Linked DNA regions of Coturnix japonica. The protein of the gene in region 1 interacts with the protein of each later gene in a pairwise test. Links are inferred from orthologs where the notes say so. Each region holds a gene or a part of one and is shown on either strand. Other genes may lie near its edges.

Region 1 (8,238 bases):
GATCAGAAATGATCAGATCTTGATGTAGAATAACCAAGAACATGGGCTTTAAAGCAATTAAGATAATTACAAGCTTCCAAGCCAGGAACAGCAAAAGCAGTCTGAATAGCAAAACAAGTAATAATGAAAAGCAGCAGAATTGGTTTGTTTTTTCTTTTCCTTTAGCAGACTTGGTGGTTCTTAGCAGACAGTATCTCAGCCAGCCCAAAGCCAGCAAAATGATATGTACGAATCAGTTCTCTTTTAATTCATATTTCTCCCCAGATTTAAGTATTTCATAATGAAAGTCACATTCAGTGAACAACAGTGCTGTCTAAATGAGCATTTCAATAAGATAGTTGAGTAAGAAAAAAAAAGACTAGAAAAATCAGCAAGCATTAATGTCATGTACATATACTGCAGTGTTTAATACTGAAACACAAGAACAGTTTGCTCATATCTTCAATTTGTTGGTGTATGCTGGAGAATTAAAATACATTAAGACAGAGATTATGTTTATAGTTCATTGCTTTCAATTTACCTCCATTCTGGGTAATGTAACGAACCCATGGGAGAGCCTGATAGCCACTCTTCTCAATTATCTTTAAGTATCGAACCTGGGAAGAAAGAAAAGTTAAATATGAATCTCCCGTGTCAGCCAAGCATTGTTTAGCAAAAAATAAAATGAAATCAGGGATGATTGGGTGGGCAGCGATGATCTATGGATATAGATCATCGCTGATGATAGATATATGGATATATATGGTATTGATAGATAGATATAGATAGATATATGGATATATATGGTATATTCTATGGATAATAATAACAGAAATTATCCAGATGTGCAAAACTTTAGATGTAAACATAAACTGTCGTCACTTGCATTAACAGTGTGCTTTCCATATGAAATAATGCAGCCAGTCCTATCATTCTCTTTACAAGATTCCCTTAAAGCCGGGAAAAATAAAAAATAAAATAAAACAAACAAACAAACAAAAAAATCAGACTTGCCTCAGTAATAAAGAAACACTTTTGGTACTTCAAAGTGAAGGGCAGGAAGATGTTTGTGAATGAGACAGTGACAGCCAGGAAAAGCAGGACAAAAACAACAGCAAAATGACACCAAACCATGGAACAATTACACAGCAAAAATTACACCAAACCAAGGAACAAGGCAGACAAAGCTACAAAGCTGGGCTGCATCAGCTTGTGTGTCAGGAGCCTAGCACACAGCCTCCTTCTGTATTTCTGTTTTCAACTACCAACCTGGATTCCTGAAGTGGTGAAATATGGAATCTCAAATTTGACACTAATGGGAGGTTTCCCTTCCTTGTCTTCAGCTTCAACACTTGGAAGTCCAAAGTGAGCCCTCATCAGATATTCTTTTCCACCCTTACAAAAAAAGAACAATTTTTTTTTTTCTTGAAACAAGAAAAGCTTCCAACAATACAAGTGATTTTCTATGCAGAATATCAAATTGATGAACTGCATTTATTACTTCAGATTCTTTTCTAGGGCTAAGAAGGAAGTACTTGTTTTTATTTAAAAATAGTGGTGTTTGGTTTTTGTTTGTTTTGTTGCTTTTAAATATAGATCAACTTAAGACCAGTTTGAGGCATAATTCATCTTCCTCTGGTCTTATCCTCAACGAGAACATTAGAAGTTTGGCTTTCTTTCTGACCATTTTCATCACATAGCACGGTAGCTGTACTATCACTATGGAGCATTTGATGCTTTTAGAATTTGCCTTAGGCTGAGTCATAAACCATTAACTTTAAGTAATTATTGTACTATTGGGTGAGAAGACTAAAAATAGCACTTACTGGAAAAGACTTGATGGACCAGACAATTTCACTGTTCTCTGGAACCCATTTGACACTTCCAACAGTGGTTTTAAACTTTGGCGAATCCGCATCATTTGGAACTGGAATGTGAATCTCCACATTGTTGGCAGTCGATCTACGTTTAAACTGACTTTTTGCCTAAAGAAAAGTGAGAAAAAAAAATTAAAAAAATCACATCTCTAAGCACATACACTACACATGTAAATTCAGAGAGCTGTGAGATAATTTCCCTCTACCACAATCTACTGAGAAACAGCACAATACAGAACATTAACACAAATGAACTTCACTAAAAAGACACAAATCCCAGGGAAATAGTAGGTGTTTGTGTAAGCAGGAATGCACTCTGCTGGTCAAGCACTGAGAACAAACAAAAGACAAACCAGCCATAATAATTTTAGTACTTCTGACCTTGATCATGTACTCGATGCGGCTGTGGGAATGTTTTTCAATCACAGACTCAATCCAGATCAGTGGCTTTACCTGATGGGAAAGATATTTTACAACTGTAGATTTTACTTTGGCATGTGCACAAAATTGTAATTTCCTCACAAATCTACACTGAATACATTAATTCTGTAAGTAAGCACTGACATACAAGCAAAATGTGGCTAAAAAATGGCAGGCATCGAGGGGGGGAAAAAAAAGAAAGAAGTATTTCTCAGATTAGTTCCTAACATCTTCAGTTGTCAAACACATCTCCACGTATGTGCAGGTCTTTTTGTTTTGTTTTCTGTAACTGTTTTGCTGGTCTCCTGTCACAGCTGACAATTAAATATTTCCTCTTTGCTAAATATTTTCTTTTCAAAAAGAATGTTAACTTATACAGCAGCTGCTACCTTGAGGAGCCAGGAATATGGTATGTTAACATACTCCAAGAAATATTCAGCTAACAAATTAACACTGTCAAGCACAATAAATTGCCACAATAATTTTATAGCATTGTTAGCTTAAAAATGAACTAATTCATGCTTTGAAAATAGTTTCAATAGAAGTTGAAAAGATAAGAGACTTACTGCCAAGTTATTCCTAACCTCATTCTTACTTCCTCCAAAAACAGCAAGCACAAAGCGTTACTACTAATGGTTGACTTCACAACTACTATGCTGCCCATACTTAAAGAAAAAACAAAACACATCACGGGAAAGTCATCAGCAATTCTACCTACAGGCTAGATTATTCTCATAAAAAACTGCTATGGTTCAGACCCAAACATCCAGACTTACGTGGGTATTGAGGCGATAGGACATGAGTTCAAACTCTCCATCAGGTGGGATGAAAGAAATCGTCCTGTCATTTTCAAAGCGAGAGAGACGAACACACTGATGGAACTTCACGTCTTCCAGTTCTACTGATTTACTTTTGCCACCTATCAGAAAACACACATGCCAAGATTTCAAATCACTGCTCCCATTGCATCTGAAGTCACATCAGAGCATTATATAGCAAAGCAGATGCCTGCTGATATCCTTCACACCTGGGTTTAGCCCAGTATTTTTTCTAAGACTCCAAAAGTCCCAGCAGAAGAGGCAATGAAGCCCAGATGGTTACCATGTTCACTGTGGTATCCCATCTTCTCTTGGTATTGCCACACAAGACCTAACCTGGTTTTCTACATTGATTAAACAAGTGTTTTCATCACAAAATCTATGTTTTCACTTGAACCTCACCAAATCTTGCAGAGAACACCCATCACAATTTCAAAAGATATTGCTGAAATACTCACGGCCTGTGTTATCAAAGAGAACTTTGTCATTTAAACCAAGGCGGAGCTCTGGCATTCCTGAGAGAAAGACTCTCATTTTAATGGATCCAACTATTTCACTCCGTAATACATTTCCATTGGCACTAACCTGAAGGGTAATGAAAAGAAAGATAAAGGTTGCCCTAACACAATATGATATGAGATCAAACAGCAATCCCACCCCATCCTCAAGCCCCGGGTCTCCGTGGATGCTTTTCTTCCGAGCAACCAATCCAACACAGTACAATCAGACTAAGGACAAAGTGGGAATAGACTGAAAGAGAAAGGAAGGACACATTGGAAACCAACTCTGGGACTACTGGGCACAGAGCACAAGTTCCAGTAAATGATTATTTATCTCTGGCTGTCATTACAGATTGTCAGTTTCAATGACAGACAGCATCCCAGCACACTAATCATGGTTAGGCTGATTTTTTAATATATAATATATAATATGTTTTCAGACAGTAAGTTCTTCTCAAGACTTCTACTAATAATTCTCATTAAAAGTTCAAGTAAAAGGTACCCACCAAAAGGTTAACAGACTCTATAACATCCAGGAACACTTCATTCTTCCTATATTTTATCCCTTCTGATCTCCATGAAACAGCATTTGTAACAGTGGCAGGTGGACGTGGAGCTCCAGTTTCAAGTTTGTGACCTTCCTGAGTGATGTACCTTTATAAGCACAGAATTAGAACAAAAAATACAAATTATACTCTGAAAAATCTGAAGTGTCTTTTATATCAGATACACATCATCAATAAATAAGTTGGATATTATAATACTTTATCAAGTATTAAATATTTTGATAACTAGAGGAGGAACCCAAAACATTTGTTTGCATGCAAAATACAAAGACTTTCCCAAGGACTTTACAAATATGAGCAATAAAGACTGATACTTACTCTTGTAAAATTTTACTATCAGTGGTTTGTGGGTAACCAAAATCCATAAGCTCATCTAACAACTCATAAATAATAACAAAATTATCTCTAATGCTCTCTTCTTCCAACTCCTTGAAATATTCAGAAAAAACCTGAAACAACAAAAAAAAGAACGAGAGGGAAGGAAAAAAAGAAGGACATGAGCTGAGGAACTACAGCATATTCTGAATGTATTCCTATAACTAACAAGAGTTTGGAAGAAAAAAAGGAAAAAATAAATAAATCACCAAAACAAAACTCATAATTCCTAAAAACATTCTGTCCAGATTAGCAGCAGGAAACTCACCTCAATTAAAAGGGGGTTAAAGAGACCAAGAAATAAGTCTGATCATTACAAAAAATATTTATGCTGGGAAAAACAGTTGTGATGCCAGTTCCAAATTAACCCAACACAGCACCTATATATGGCACTATTCATACATCAGTGTTTTCCTCTGTGTTCTCGGGTCATGTGCAACTACTCACAGCATTGTGTCACATCCTTTGCCTACTCAGTTATAAGATATCAATTCCATTCTTAGTGGTTAGGAAGACATTTCTATCAAATAATCAAATATAAAGGAAAAATAGTATAGATTCTATTTAAAAAAAAAAGTGAAAGCTCTATGCATTTTTATTAGATCACACTGAAAAATAGATGGGAAATAAATCCAAAACTTCCTACTCACCTGAACTACTTTATATAAAAATGAAAACACCAGTGATACACAAGCATTCTTCTTAGAAGTTGCAACAACTAATAAAGGATGTTCAGGAACACGCATTCAAAGTCATGGTGTGATGAAAAGCATTTTACTGAGTGTGCTTTTAAAAGCATTGTAAAAGGGGCAGCCTGATCTGGTGCCTGATTTAGTTTGTGGCAGCCATGGCTGAGGCAGCAGGGTTGGAACTGAAAGATCTTTGAGGTACCTTCAACCCAAGTCATTCTATGATTCATTCAATGATTCACACGTAGGTTGCCTGCAGCACAAAGGATACGATAGAGGTTGTTATGTTTAATCCACATGAAACGAACTCCTCCATGTGCTAGAATAGGAGAAAGCGTTCCCTCTTCTTCCTTTTCCATAAGGATTGGCATAAAATGCTCCACTTCTGACATGTCCACATCCCCACGGTAATTTCGACAGATGAGAACCTACGGAAAGAACAATTCCTTACACTTTTCCTTTGAGAGATGACGTTACCATGCCAGACCAGCACAGGGGATAGTTAAAATACCTCTTAACTGAAAAACCCACATATCAAGCTTTAATCAATGGTCTATACATACTACAAACGCAAACCAAAGTGCCATTATATGTTGCAATTTGAACGCAAATCCCCAAGCTACGCAGTCGTATCTCCTAGTGTTATTCCTCACACAGCTACGCACACCCTAATAATAATAACTTTTGAGATGGAAAAACACACCGCTCTCCTGGGACAAGCCTCCTCCCATTAGGGCTGATATTACTGACCGCAGTTGTGATGCTCGGGGCTGTGCAGGCAGGGCCGCTCCCCGACTCGGACAAGGCGGGACCGCCCCACAGCTCGGGGCAAACAGCGAGCGGGAAGGGGAAGCGGCGGCCGCAGGGCAGCGAGGCCGAGAGAGCCCCACGGTGCCGGGCCCCGCCGAGCCCAGGACGGGCCCGACGCTCTCGGCAGCTCGGGGTGAAGGGCGCCCACAGCCGCAGCGCGGCCTCACCTTTCCCTTCAGGTCCAGCACGTACACGGCGCTGGCCGACATCGCGCCGCCCGGGGCCGCCGCGCCCGCCGCGCCCGATCACAGTCACAGCGACTTCCGCTTCCGCCCGCCACTTCCGGTAGGAAGCGGCTGCACAAGGTCCGGCCGCGCGGAGGGATACGCGCAGTGATCCGCCGGCAGCGGAACAGCACTTAAGGCACCGATTGCTGACGTTAAGTAGTGCGCGGCCGGCTGAAGTCCGCAGTTAGGAAGGCTGAGGAGCCCCGGGACGGGTCAGCGGTACCAGAGGGAAAACGCTTGGGTTGAATTAGTGTGTGAGGGTCTGGGATGTGATTCACATCACCTGTGAGAGCTGTAAATGCAGCCATACAGACTGCATGCAGCACACCACCCTCACTGCAGGGAAAGGAGCACCGAAATAATGGATAAAAGGAGCTTTTTAATAAGTTACAGTAAAGACATAAGGATTGTAGAATACAGCAGACACCACTGCCCCAACTCAGAGATTTTATATAGGAATTACACAGTTCTGCCACTGATAAGAGCAGCTCATACAATGTAATGCTGCCACAGACTGCTTCTTCTAAGAGCTGCTGGCATAGGACAAATAAAGGAACATTCTCCTGTTGTCTCACAGCAATTGGGTTCAGCTTTGAGCACTGAAAAACACCCCATAAGTCAACAGCCAAAGAAGAGGTTTTGTTGAGTATTTTGAAACTGAAATACGGCAGTACAAGGTGATAAATGTTCCGAAGACATATGAAATATTCAGTATCATGAATACGGAGGTTTACACGGCAGCCCTGTTTGGTGTGAGCACAACTCCTGACCCGAGGCCCCGAAACGCCGCCCGTTCACTTGGTCCAGCTGACTTTGGGGATGTCGTAGTGCTCCGTCAGAGTGTCCAGGTGCCTGTTGAAATCCTGAGGGGCAGCAAAGGAACAGAGCGCTCAGAATTGGAGCATTCACCATCGCGCAGCCCTCCCCACAGCGCTGCCCAGCTGATGGTACTTCCACTCACCTCAACTCTCTGTTTGTGTGTTTTCGAGGCCTTCTTCAGGATCCTCTCCATTTGCTGGAAGAAGACACAAGATCACAGTTATTGCCGTGGGGTTCCGACCCGCCCCACGTCCCGGGGGCAGTGCGGCCCTACCCGCTTCTCCTGCATCTTCTCGTAGGCCACTTGCGCCGGGGTCCGCTTATCCAGGCCGCGCTTCTTCTCCTCTTCCTGCTTCTTGCTGCTCACGATCTGCTCCAGGATCTTGGCCTTGTCCTTCGCTTTCTTCTTCTTCCTGCGGACAGACGCCGCTCAGCTCCCAGCCCCCGGCCCGGCTCCCGGTTCCCCCCTCTCCCTGCCGCTCACCGTTTGCCGGCCCCCAGCCCCGCTCCGCCGCCCTTCAGCCGCAGCGGCCCGCGCTGCACCGCCTCGTAGTCCGCCATCGCTCGGCCGCCCAGCGCCACAGCGACCCCTGGCGGCAGCGCCGTTCCCGCCACAGGGCGCTGAGGTAAAAGCCGTTACAACCCGAGCGGCCCCGAAGTGCCCGGCCACAACCCGAACCTCGAGCCCAACCCACGGTGTTCCACTCCGAACCGACCGAATCTGAATCGCTGCCGCTTGTTTTAAGGCACCTTAAGGGTGAGTGAAGCTGTGCGGCTCCTGTGGTGCTGCTGTTAGTTCCACACCCTACCCTTGTGTTTCACGTTTAACTCACGGTTCTGTTTTCATGTATAAACAATGCAATCTCTTGTATTTTCAGTGTAAAAGCCACATATGGACCTGTATATATGCATGCTTGTCACACTAATGGACATTAACTAGAGATAATGTGTGTTAATGGAGAGATAGAGGGGCTAAGAGGACTTTACAGGTATTGCCCCAAGAAAAGCCAATACTGACATTAGTGAGCAATGCAGTGTGTGTTGTAGCGAAAAATGAGACAAAAAAGATCAGTGGTGACCACCACTGTGACCAGCTCCGAGCATTCAGCGCCAATCTTAACAAGTAAAGGCATTACCAACACTATTCAGGTAATTTGC
Region 2 (10,779 bases), on another chromosome or scaffold:
CTTTCCCTCCCCTTCCCGTTCCCCTCCATTTCCCTTCCCTTCCCTCCCCATCCCATCCAGCTGCCCAGGCTCAGGACGGTTCCTGGTGGGGAAATTCCTGGCACAGCTGCTCCATCCCATCCCGGCTGCATTCCCCAGCACCACACAATGCACCTTTATGTTTTCCCTGTGCCTGGAGCGCACAGATCTGGTGGGGCACCAAAAAAAACTCAAGAAGTGCCATACGTGCCTCTCCCCCGGCCCTTGTTGAGTTTGGGGGGGGAGTTTCTCACATTCTGTGACAGTGTGGCTGAGGATCCCATCCCAATGGGCACTGCTGCATCCCCCAAATCTGCTTTTATGGGGCTGTGGTGGCTGATGGGGCTGAGAAGAGGCACCCCAATGTGCTATCAGCCCCATGGGCTGAGCCTGCAGTGGGTGTTGGGGGCGTTGTGGGGTGCAGTGGGGTGTGGGGTGCTGTGCTGACAGCTCTTTGCTCTGGCAGTACCTGCAGATGAAGTGGCCGCTGCTGGATGTGCCGGCTGGGGCCACACTAAAGGACAGCCGCTCACCGTCACCCGCACACCTGGTAAGGACTGCGGCCCCAAACCCCACTGAGATACGGCCCCAAACCCCACTGAGTTGTGGCCTCAGACCCCACAGAAGCAAACAGAGCTTCAGCTGGGGGTGGCGTTCTAGGGGCTGTGTTTTGGGGAGGTGTCCTTGGGGGGGGCTGTGTTTTGGGGTGGATCACTGTATCTTTCCTCCCATCCCCTACAGTCCAACAAGGTCCCGGTGGTGCAGCATGCGCCCCACATGCACCCGTTGACGCCGCTCATCACCTACAGCAATGACCACTTCTCTCCTGGCTCGCCGCCCGCGCATCTCTCACCTGACATCGACCCCAAAACGGGTGAGTGGGGGGAGAGGGGTTGCATGGAGAGAGGGATGTTTAAAGGGAGTGCTTATAGGGAGATGAATGCTCAGATGGAGAGGGGGTCTTATAAAGGAGAGGGGTATTTATAGGGAGATGGGTGTTTGTAGGGAGATGGGTGCTTGTAAGGAGAGGGTCGCTCGTGGAGAGAGGGGTGCTTATAGGGGGTTGAGTGCATTTAGGAAGATGGGTGCTTGTAGGGAGATGGGTGCCTGTAAGGATGTGAATGTTCGTAGGGAAATGGGGGAAATGCAGGGAGGTGAGTGCTTACAGGAAAATGAGCACTTATGTAGAGGTGAATGTTGATAGGGGGGTGGATGCTTGTAGGGAGGTGGATGCTCACAGTGAGGTGGGTTTAATGCTGCTCCCCCCACAGGGATCCCGCGCCCGCCGCACCCTCCCGAGCTGCCCCCCTACTACCCGCTGTCGCCAGGAGCTGTGGGTCAGATCCCTCACCCGCTGGGCTGGCTTGTGCCGCAGTAAGGATGGGCTCCTCCTGCCCCGGCCCCACTGCGTCCCTGGCCCATGCACCCCATGTGCTCCTTGGTTCCCAGCGAGCTGGGTGCGATGGGGTGGGGAAGGGAGGGACTGTGCTCTGGTGGAAATGTGGGATGTTGTCCCCATTGGGATCGGCTGGGGACCGAGCCAAGAGTCCCGGTGTTGTGGGGAGGGGGCTTGTCCCTGTGTCTGCTGCAGCTCGTGCATTTGCAGGCAAGGACAGCCCATGTACTCCATCCCCCCCGGCGGCTTTCGGCACCCCTACCCCGCCCTCGCCATGAACGCCTCCATGTCCAGGTGGGTCCCTGCACCCTGGTGGGTCCCCATGGCCAGGTGGGTCCCCATATCTTCGTAGGTCCCCATGTCCTCGTAAGTCCCTATGTCCTCGTGTCCCCATGGCCGCGTGGCTCTGAGCAGGGACAAGGGACCTCCTTGGGCACCCTGAGCTCCGTGTGGGTGACTGCACTGGCCCACGCTGGCCAGAAACAGCCCCATGGTGACTCTGTGTGTGAAGAGTGATGTCCCTTGGCTCTATGGTGCCAAGTTCAGCCACAAACAAGTCCCCAGCAGTTCGGGGAAGAGTCTCTAATCCCAAGAGATCCTCAGTAGGATTTGGGGGGACATTTGGGGTTGTTGATGCCTGTGGGAGGGCTGACAACCCCACTCCCTCCACTGCAGCCTGATGTCCAGCCGCTTCTCCCCACACATGGTCCCGCCGCCCACCCACGGTCTGCACCCCTCAGGCATCCCACACCCCACCATCGTCTCACCCATTGTGAAGCAGGAGCCTGCCCAGCCCAGCGCCAGCCCTGGCAGCAGCTCGTGAGTAGGGACATGGGGGGGTGGTGCCGGGGACAGGGACAGGATGGGGACAGAATGGCATGGGGATGGGAATGGGGATGGGATGGGGATTAGGATGGGATTGAGATTGGGATTGGGATTGGGATTGGGATTGGGATTGGGATTGGGATTGGGATTGGGATTGGCATTGGGATTGGGATGGAGATAGGATGGGGTGGGGAGGGACAGGAATGGGGATGGGGATGAGGATGAGGATGGCAGCAGGGACAGGAATAGGAAGGGGGATATGGAGCTGAGCCTGCATGTTGCCCCCTGCAGGAAATCCCCCATCACAGTAAAGAAGGAGGAGGAGAAGAAGCCCCACATCAAGAAGCCTCTGAATGCTTTCATGTTGTACATGAAAGAGATGAGGGCGAAGGTCGTTGCTGAATGCACGCTGAAGGAGAGCGCGGCCATCAACCAGATCCTGGGCCGACGGGTACGTGTCTCCCTCGTGCCTTCATCTGCCTGCACACCAACATGGCTGTGCTGGGGACCTGCAGGCACTGCCTGCCGTGTGTCCCTGGGGTCCGCAGTGTCCTTTCCCCTTGCAGTGGCACTCGCTGTCGCGGGAGGAGCAGGCCAAGTACTACGAGCTGGCACGCAAGGAACGGCAGTTGCACTCACAGCTCTACCCCACGTGGTCTGCCCGCGACAACTACGTGAGTGTGACCCACATTCCCCAGTTCAGTGGGGTTGGGAGGCCTGAGGGTGGTGGGGCTGAGCTGGGGGGACACCACGGTGCCGGCCCACATCACCCCCTGGGTCACCATGACCCCAGTGTGACCATGAGCCCCTGTATCACCATGTGCTGCTCTGTGGCGTTGTATCACCCCCCCTCAGCCTTTGTCCATCCCGTGGAGCATCCCACCATCACACCTCAGTGCTTTGCAATATTTCACAGGGCAAGAAAAAGAAGAGGAAGCGAGAGAAGCTGGCCCAGCAGCAGAGCCACGAGGCAGAGAGTGAGTACCCGGGGGGGAAGGGGCGGCCGTGGCCATCACGTTCCCCCCTCTGCCCCCACACTCAGCGCCTGCCCCACACCCCGCAGGTGCTCTGCCCTCCAGGAGCAAGAAGCCGTGCGCCCCACACCACCTGCCCCCCGATAAACCCTGCGACAGCCCGGCCTCGTCCCACGGCAGCATGTTGGATTCACCTGCCACGCCGTCAGCCGCCCTGGCCTCCCCGGCTGCGCCCGCAGCCACACACTCGGAGCAGGCGCAGCCGCTGTCGCTCACCACCAAGCCGGAGGCCAGGGCTCAGCTCGCCTTCCTCTCCGGCAAATCCTCCTCCTCCTCCTCCTCCCTGGGCTCCCCCCCGTCGCTGCTCCCCCGGCCCATCGCCTTCCCCTCGCTGCTGCTCCCCTCCCCTCCTGCCCCGCAGCAGACGCAGCCGCTCGCGCTGGTCACCAAACCGGCCGACTGAGGGTGGGCTGAGCAGGAGCCCCCCACCGCCCTGCACCGCAGCCGCCACAATCACGACTCCCAACGCAGCCAAACCTTTATTGGTCAATATTTGACCTTTTCTGAACTGTTTTTTTTTGTGTTTTATTCTTTTTGTCTTTTGGGAAGCAGACTCTGGAGGAAGAGGCTCTTTCCCTTTACCAGCAGTCGACCTAAAGACTGTTTTTATTAAAAAAGAAAAAAAAAAAAGGGGGGGGGGAGGGGGAGGGAAATGTTTTTTTGTGTTTTTTAATATTTTTTAAGAATAAAAGAGAGAAAGAAAAAAAAAAGAAAAAGGACCTTTCCTCAGGCTGGGCATCCAGTGCTGATGCCCCCAGTGCCCCCAGTGCCCCCAGTGCCATCCCACTACAGCTGGACCCCGTCCCCAGCTCGGTGCTGGGCTGGGGGGACATGGGGTGGGGCTGGGGGGGGGGTTTCTCATTGAATCCCTGTTATTTTTCACAAAAAGAAAACAAAACAAAAAAAAAAGAAGAAAATAAAACTACAGCTGCAACTTTGCTGCGTGAGCGTGGTCCGTGCAGGAAGGCCGGCACTGCTGAGCGCTGCCGATGTCAGCCTGGAGCCCTGCTCTGTGCTGCAGCTCCAAGAGCCGAAACCTTTTTTTTGGGTCAGAAAAGCCAAAAACCGCTGTCCTGCAAAGGGCCGCAGCCACTCAGCCGACACCAGGAGCAGGATGCGGCCGAGCAGCGCCTTGAATGGGATTTCATGGGAAATTAAAGGCATGAAGAGACCTGTCACAAGAATTAAAGTCTGGACCGGAGCCAGACGGCTTCAAACAGATGTTGGACTTCAGCGGGAGAATCTTTCTTTGTTTGGCTCGGCGTGTTCCCATACGGAGCACGAACATCTGTCGGGTGCGCTGGGTCCGGATGGTCCCTTCGGGAGGACGGAGGCACGAGGAGCTGCTGCTCGTGGGGCGGCTCATATGAAGGCGCCGCGTCCTGCCCGGCCGCTCCGAGTCCCGCTCAGCCCGGCCTGTGTCCGTGTGTCCGTGTGTCCGTGTGTCCCCGGCCACCAGGGAGCGGCCTCGTGCCGTCCGTGTCCCTGCGGTGACACGTCGCTGCTCCGCCGGCCCCGTTTTCCTTTGGGTCACTCCATCCCATCCCTAATGGCCGCCGTCCAACAGACCCCCCGGGGCTGCGCTGCCCGCTCACTAATTGAGACGCCTAATGAGCTCCCTGCGGAGATGGAGCTAATTAGGAGCTGCCCGGGGCCGGGGGGGGGGTCCCGCCAGATGTCGCGTTGCACCGGGGTGAGGCCGCGCCTCGTACCCGTTAATTGCCGTTAATTTCCCATTTGCTGATGGATTCGATCTCATCCCGCCCCGCTCAGCGGATCGTGGGCTGCAGTCAGTGCCCAGGGATGGGATGGGGAAACGTCCCACGAGGAGAAGGGCAGCGCCAAGGCCCAGAGCGCCCGGTCCGACCCCAAATCCCCCTTTTTGACCCCAAATCCCCCTTTCTGACCCCAAAATCCCCCTTTTTGACCCCAAATCGCCCCCACTCGGCTCTACCGGCGCGCCCCTCCCTCGCCGAGCCCCGCCCCCTGCTTTGCATGGCCACGCCCACTCACACAAGCCCCGGCCCCTGCCGGCCGTCAGCCGCGTGCCGGAAGTGACGTTTTGAGCGGAAGCGGAAGCGGAAGCAGGCTGTATCCGGGTGAGAGCAGCGGGCCGGCATGGCGCTGCGGGTGGTTCCGCTGCTGCTGCTGCTGCTCCTCGGCATCGCCGCCAGGACCGGGGACGGGACCAGTAACGGGGACGGGACCAGTAACGGGGCCGGAGCCGGAGGTAGCGCGGGGTGCGGGGGGAGCTGGTGGGAGCCGGGAGCGGACACGTGTCCCACGGCCCCGGGTTTTACGGGCTCTGTGTCCGCGGGAGCTGCCGGGATCCCGTGAGCGCGGCCGGGCCGAGGGTGGATGATGTGAGTGATCCCGGCGGGGCGAGGAACCGCCGCGTCAATGACCGCGGGGAGTCGGGGCTCGGCGGAACCTTAACGGGGCGGCGGGACGCTCGGGGCGGGAGGCAGCGCGGTAACGGGAGCCGGTAACGGAACTGCGGGTCCGGGTGGTAACTGCGGGCTCGGTGTGTTTGTGGCAGGCGGGGAGCAGGGAGCGGAGCTCACGCAGCCATCCAGCACTTCAACAGGCGGCGGAGGATCCAACGGGGCACAGGATGGAGACGGCGGAGGGACAAATAACGGGGGAGGAGCTGGTGGTGCCGGTCAAAACACAAACGGGATTGAGACGCAGCCCGGAGGGACAGGGAAACAAGGCGATAAAGACAAGGAAGAGAGCAATGGGGGCAAAGACACCAGCCAGAGCAATGGTAATGATGGCACTGGGAGCCAAAGCACCAGCCAGAGCAACAGCAACAGTGGCAGTGGGGGCCAAGGCACCAGCCAGAACAATGGCAATGATGGCAATGGAGGCCAAGGCACCAACCCGAACAACGGCAACGGTGGCAGTGGGGGCCAAGGCACCAGCCAGAGCAGTGGCAGCGGTGGCACACAGTCTGGCAACACTGCTGGCCAACCCAGCACCCAAAACACTGACAGCCAAAGCAATACCCAGCATGGTGATGATCAGGAGCAGAGCAGCCACAATAGTGGCAATCAGGGCACCAAGACCGACAGCCAAAGTAACCACCAGCAGGGCAGTCAGACCACACAAAATGGCAACACCAATGGCCAGAGTGGCCAGAAAAATGGCAGTGCTGGTAACCAAAACAGCCAGAAAGAGAACACTGACAAGGGCAATGGCCAGACCAACCAGCATGATGACAACACCAGCAGCAGCCAGAACAATGTGCAACATGGCAACACCAACAGCCAGACCAACAAGCAGCCTGGTAACACCAACAGTCAGACCAACCAGCAGCCTGATAACACCAACAGTCAGACCAACCAGCAAGGCAGCGGCACCCAGCAACATGGCAACACCAACAGCCAGACTAATGAGCAACATGATAACACCAACAGCCAGACCAACAAGCAGCCTGATAACACCAACAGCCAGACCAACCAGCAACCCAGCAACACGCAGCATGATGGCAACACCAACAGCCAGACCGACCAACAGAGCGACGATGCCAACGGTCAGAATGACCAGCAAGGCAGCGACAACCAGCAACAAGACAGCACCGACATGCAGGACAGCAATCAGGGCGACCAGGAAGACTCAGTGGAAAATAATGGGCAGCCCTCACAGTCAGTTTCATCTGTTCATGACACAGAAGGCTCCCCAGATGGTGACGAACTCCCTGAGGAAGAGAACGGGTTTAGGAATGGTAATGGTGCTGCCTCATTTAATGAGAGAGAGAAGAGTATTCCTGTTTCTCCAGGGAAGAAGTCAGAGAACAGCCACTTCTTTGCCTATCTGGTGACCACGGGGATTATTGTTGCTGTTCTGTATGTTGCCTATCACAACAAGCGGAAGGTGAGTGGTTCTGCTCCTTGCCCAAGTTCCCCCCTGTGGTTTAAAAGCTTCCTTCGCAGTCGTTGGTCGGTGCTGCAGGTGGGGACATGCTCGGCTGAACATCTTTCCCCTTTGCTGCTCTCATTTTTGCCTTTTGCTTCCTGCTGAAGCCTCCTGCTTGCTGGGTGGGTTTGTTTAGTGTTTAATTTGAGGCCTTGATCTCAACAGCTTTGAGATGAGCAGGGAGGAGTGTTGTAACCAGGAAAGCATTTGGATCTCCATGGAAATGGGATGGCCTCAGCTCCAGCGGTTATTTTCAGCAGTGAGAAATGGAACTGAGCGAGGAGAAAAGGAAAAGATCTGTGCAGTTGCTCTGTGTTTCTTATGGACAATGAGTTTTCTGTACCAGGTTGTGAAAGACTCGCCTTTAAATAGCACTGCACAGGGGAATACAGCCCAAGTGATAAAGCCCATCTTTTCTGCTGTTTTTGTCCCTCCTGCAAACCTGTTTTTGTGGTAGGAGAGGGATCAACTTCTTAACTGTTTTCTGTGGAAAACTGTTTTGCCATGTTTGGGAAAGCCTCATCATTTCCTGTTTTCAATCTGAGCTGCTTTTAAATGATGTTTATTTCAAGTACTTTTAGAAGGATGCGAGTGATGCTTCTCATTGGCCCACTAGAAAGTGCCTCTGTTAGAAGTCAGAAAAACTGCATGTGGTCGTTCCTGTCCTGCTCACCTTGTCCTGCCTCTCTCTCTCCAAAGATCATCGCTTTTGCCCTGGAAGGGAAACGTTCGAAAGGCGGTCGGCGGCCCAAATCCGGCGATTATCAGCGGCTGGATCAAAAGGTAAGGAGGGGGTTGGAGAAGTCCGTCGTGTTTTCCCCTTGAAACTTTGGATTCACGTGCATCTGTAGTTATTTTCTGTGATAGGAAGCCATTGTGAGCTTTCACATTGTTTTAGCTTTTCTTTTTTCCCTTTCCAGATCTAGATTCCTCTTCAGGTGTTCAGTGGAAGAATGCTGCTTGGCGACAACGGGACCAGAATGGTGGGACACCATCAACTGCCCTCTGTAGCACTGAATCATAGCTTTGCTGTCGTCTTCGGATCTCAGAGAACAGGAAGAAGGGGAAATGCTTTTACTTTTGCACCTGCACCTTGGTAATGTTCGACTTCTCACTTCCTTAAAATGTGTTTCTCCTTTCCCAGCGGCCTGAAAATGAATCGGTTTCTGCGTGGGCGTCTGGTTTCTAGACCGTGGCCCAAGAGAAGCCAGCTCTGGCACTTGACAGAACTTTCATGTCTAAACGAAATGGGATTTGCCAGCTACTGTACCGACATCTCTTGAGAAAAATCCACCTGCGAAATGAGCCATCTGATTCTCTCCTTTCAGAGTCATAGAGCTGCCTTTGTAACCAGCACTGTCCTGCTGGAGGCACCAACAATCTCTTTCTCTGTCCATTGCATTTGGATGCTGAAGTTTGGAGCGTGATTGCACTAGCTTGGAAATGATCTGCCAAGGACTCTGCTTTGATTTCTTTTCTTCCTCTGCGATGAAGGTGATGTTTGCTTCACATAACAATTCTCACCTTAATGCACTCCTCTGGGAGTGTTGGAGCTGCCCTCTGGCTGTAGTTTAGACTTCCTTACCTGCCCTATGGCAGTTGTGCTCCACGTGGCTCTGTTCCCTTGTGGTCCTCACAGCTGAGATGCTTGCACTAATGAGGACAATTAGTTTGATGCTGCGAAAGCAAGCCATTCAGGCTTACGAAGTTCTGTGCCATACAGCTGCAGTGATGGAGCAAACTTAACCTCAAAAAGGTAACTCTTCCCTGTTGTTAAAACATTGTCATGATGATGCAGAGTGGGTGATAGTGTTTGGGATGAATGAAATTTGCAGTCATTCAAACCTCTTCTCAAGTACTGAGGCTCTTCAACAGGAAAGGTGCAGCGCTTGCACTAAGGTGTTTCCCAGGCAGCTGCCCTGTGAGAGGGAGGGTTTGTCCCACAGCTCCCAAACCTCTCTGCTCTTCTGCTGCTCTGTCCTCAGCCTGCTAATGGGGTTTAACGTGATTGAATGTACACCTCACCAGCAGCTTGTTGCTGTTTTCTCAGCGTCACTGTGGGGCACTTAAATGAGGGCCTGGGATGTACTAGCACTGGTTGTATTGAAGACTGCAAAGTGTATTGATTCCTGAGCTGTAGCTGTTACGCTGGTCTTGTTTTTGTAGTTCTGCTCCAAAGATACTTACTCAAGATAGGGCACTTTTGAAGGATGTGTGTAAAGTGCCCAGCTTCTTAGTTAGTTTTTTATCCTATTTGGGCAGAAAATGACGGCTGTGACACATGGAGGGCTATTCACATGGGTACACGTGTACCCAGAGCCGCACAGAGGAGTCCTGTCCCTGCTTTGAGGCTGGAGGGGCTGCCTATCCCCAGCCCTGCATGAAGGGTGACCCTCCCCATGGCTGCAGGGTGATGAGGGCAGGGAAGATCCCTTGTCTGGCCATGAAGGCTACAGTTGTGTCCTGGTTTTCCAGCACAAAGGGAGAGCGGGAGAAATCTCCTCTTGCCTCAAACCTGTGGGATCGACTCCTGGTGTTTCTTTTCTCTTTTTATGCAATGTGTTTCAAACTGGTCAAGGAGTGTGAAGCCTTTTCCTTTTGCCCATGGCACATTTCTGAATGGACGGTACCTGTTGGGTACATGATTTCTCTCCAGGTGGGGCTGCTCCTGGGCCTGCTGCCTTGCTGGCACAAAGCAGCGCACAGTTTGTTTCCTGCTGCAGTGCAACGCAACTTGCTTTGAAGGACCAGAATTTTTATATTTCTTTGTATTTTTTTTTTCTGCTGTGTGGTAAAGTCAATAAATGACTTAAAAAATACAGTTTTAAGCCCTTTAGCTTTAACACCCCCCCCCCCCCCCCAATCTCTTTGATCATTGCTTGTGCTCTAGGCTTTGTGCAGAGCCTCTATTAATGGATGCCAGCTCAGCCCTCACATGACTAAGCACCCTGCAGGCGGAATGAAACGAGATGGCCTTTTGCTTGGAGACTGTTTATAGAGTTCCCCGTGTGCTTTGCCTTTCACCCAACTGGCCTTTGGTCAGTAGCAGACTGAGCCAGCTGGCGAGGATCTGCATTCCCCCCTTCACCCACAGGGAGGCTCCTCGAGCAGCATTCAGTGCTCGGTGGCATTAGGATGAACTGGGAGAGAAGGAATGCAGGGCAGGGTGCTGCCAGCAGAGCAGGGTTTCTGGGTGCAAGAAACTTTCCCCCAGTTTCTCTCTGGAGGACAAACTGGGGGCAGGGGAGGGTTATTTGTGGTTTTTTCTTTACTTCTTCCCCCTTGGCCGGGTCACTGAGAGCCTGGGGGAGGCAGTGGTGAAAGCAGGAGATGGAAAATGGAGACAGTTCGGTTGTGTGTTGGACTGGAGTGCTCTCTGGAGCCTTCCTACTAGGGGTGAAAGCATTGCTGTGTGCATCTTCAGGGTCACTTCCCAGAGAAGCAAGTATTGGACTCCTCCAACAACTCTAAGCCCCATGCCCAGCCTCACCCCGACCTGGATGTGCTGTAGGGGTCTCCAAACTGTTTTCTTCCTACGGGCAGTGTGAGTGCATAGGGAGGGAGCAGCTCAGGAGGTCCCCCAGCAAG

Evidence for each region. The genes of interacting proteins can lie anywhere in the genome.
Region 2: the proteins of AP1M1 (region 1) and TGOLN2 interact in a two-hybrid assay, tested with the Homo sapiens proteins (2 studies listed by BioGRID). The link is inferred for Coturnix japonica from reciprocal best matches to the Homo sapiens genes AP1M1 and TGOLN2.

Annotation. Positions count from the first base shown.
Region 1 is NC_029543.1:3,465,401-3,473,638, forward strand, and holds the start of AP1M1 (AP-1 complex subunit mu-1), read right to left. Parts: upstream 6,308-8,238; 5' UTR 6,244-6,307; coding exon 6,202-6,243; intron 5,653-6,201; coding exon 5,496-5,652; intron 5,254-5,495; coding exon 5,186-5,253; intron 4,610-5,185; coding exon 4,479-4,609; intron 4,249-4,478; coding exon 4,101-4,248; intron 3,680-4,100; coding exon 3,553-3,679; intron 3,196-3,552; coding exon 3,053-3,195; intron 2,310-3,052; coding exon 2,238-2,309; intron 1,965-2,237; coding exon 1,806-1,964; intron 1,375-1,805; coding exon 1,249-1,374; intron 597-1,248; coding exon 521-596; intron 1-520. Other genes in the region: protein FAM32A, read right to left, coding at 7,056-7,124, 7,223-7,276, 7,355-7,493, 7,565-7,641. UniProt on the Homo sapiens protein: Subunit of clathrin-associated adaptor protein complex 1 that plays a role in protein sorting in the trans-Golgi network (TGN) and endosomes.
Region 2 is NC_029537.1:27,634-38,412, reverse strand, and holds TGOLN2 (trans-Golgi network integral membrane protein 2), read left to right. Parts: upstream 1-5,332; 5' UTR 5,333-5,391; coding exon 5,392-5,503; intron 5,504-5,812; coding exon 5,813-7,149; intron 7,150-7,890; coding exon 7,891-7,974; intron 7,975-8,111; coding exon 8,112-8,117; 3' UTR 8,118-10,012; downstream 10,013-10,779. Other genes in the region: TCF7L1 (transcription factor 7-like 1), read left to right, coding at 485-568, 760-892, 1,290-1,392, 1,625-1,708, 2,090-2,233, 2,531-2,690, 2,806-2,913, 3,156-3,216 and 1 more. UniProt on the Homo sapiens protein: May be involved in regulating membrane traffic to and from trans-Golgi network.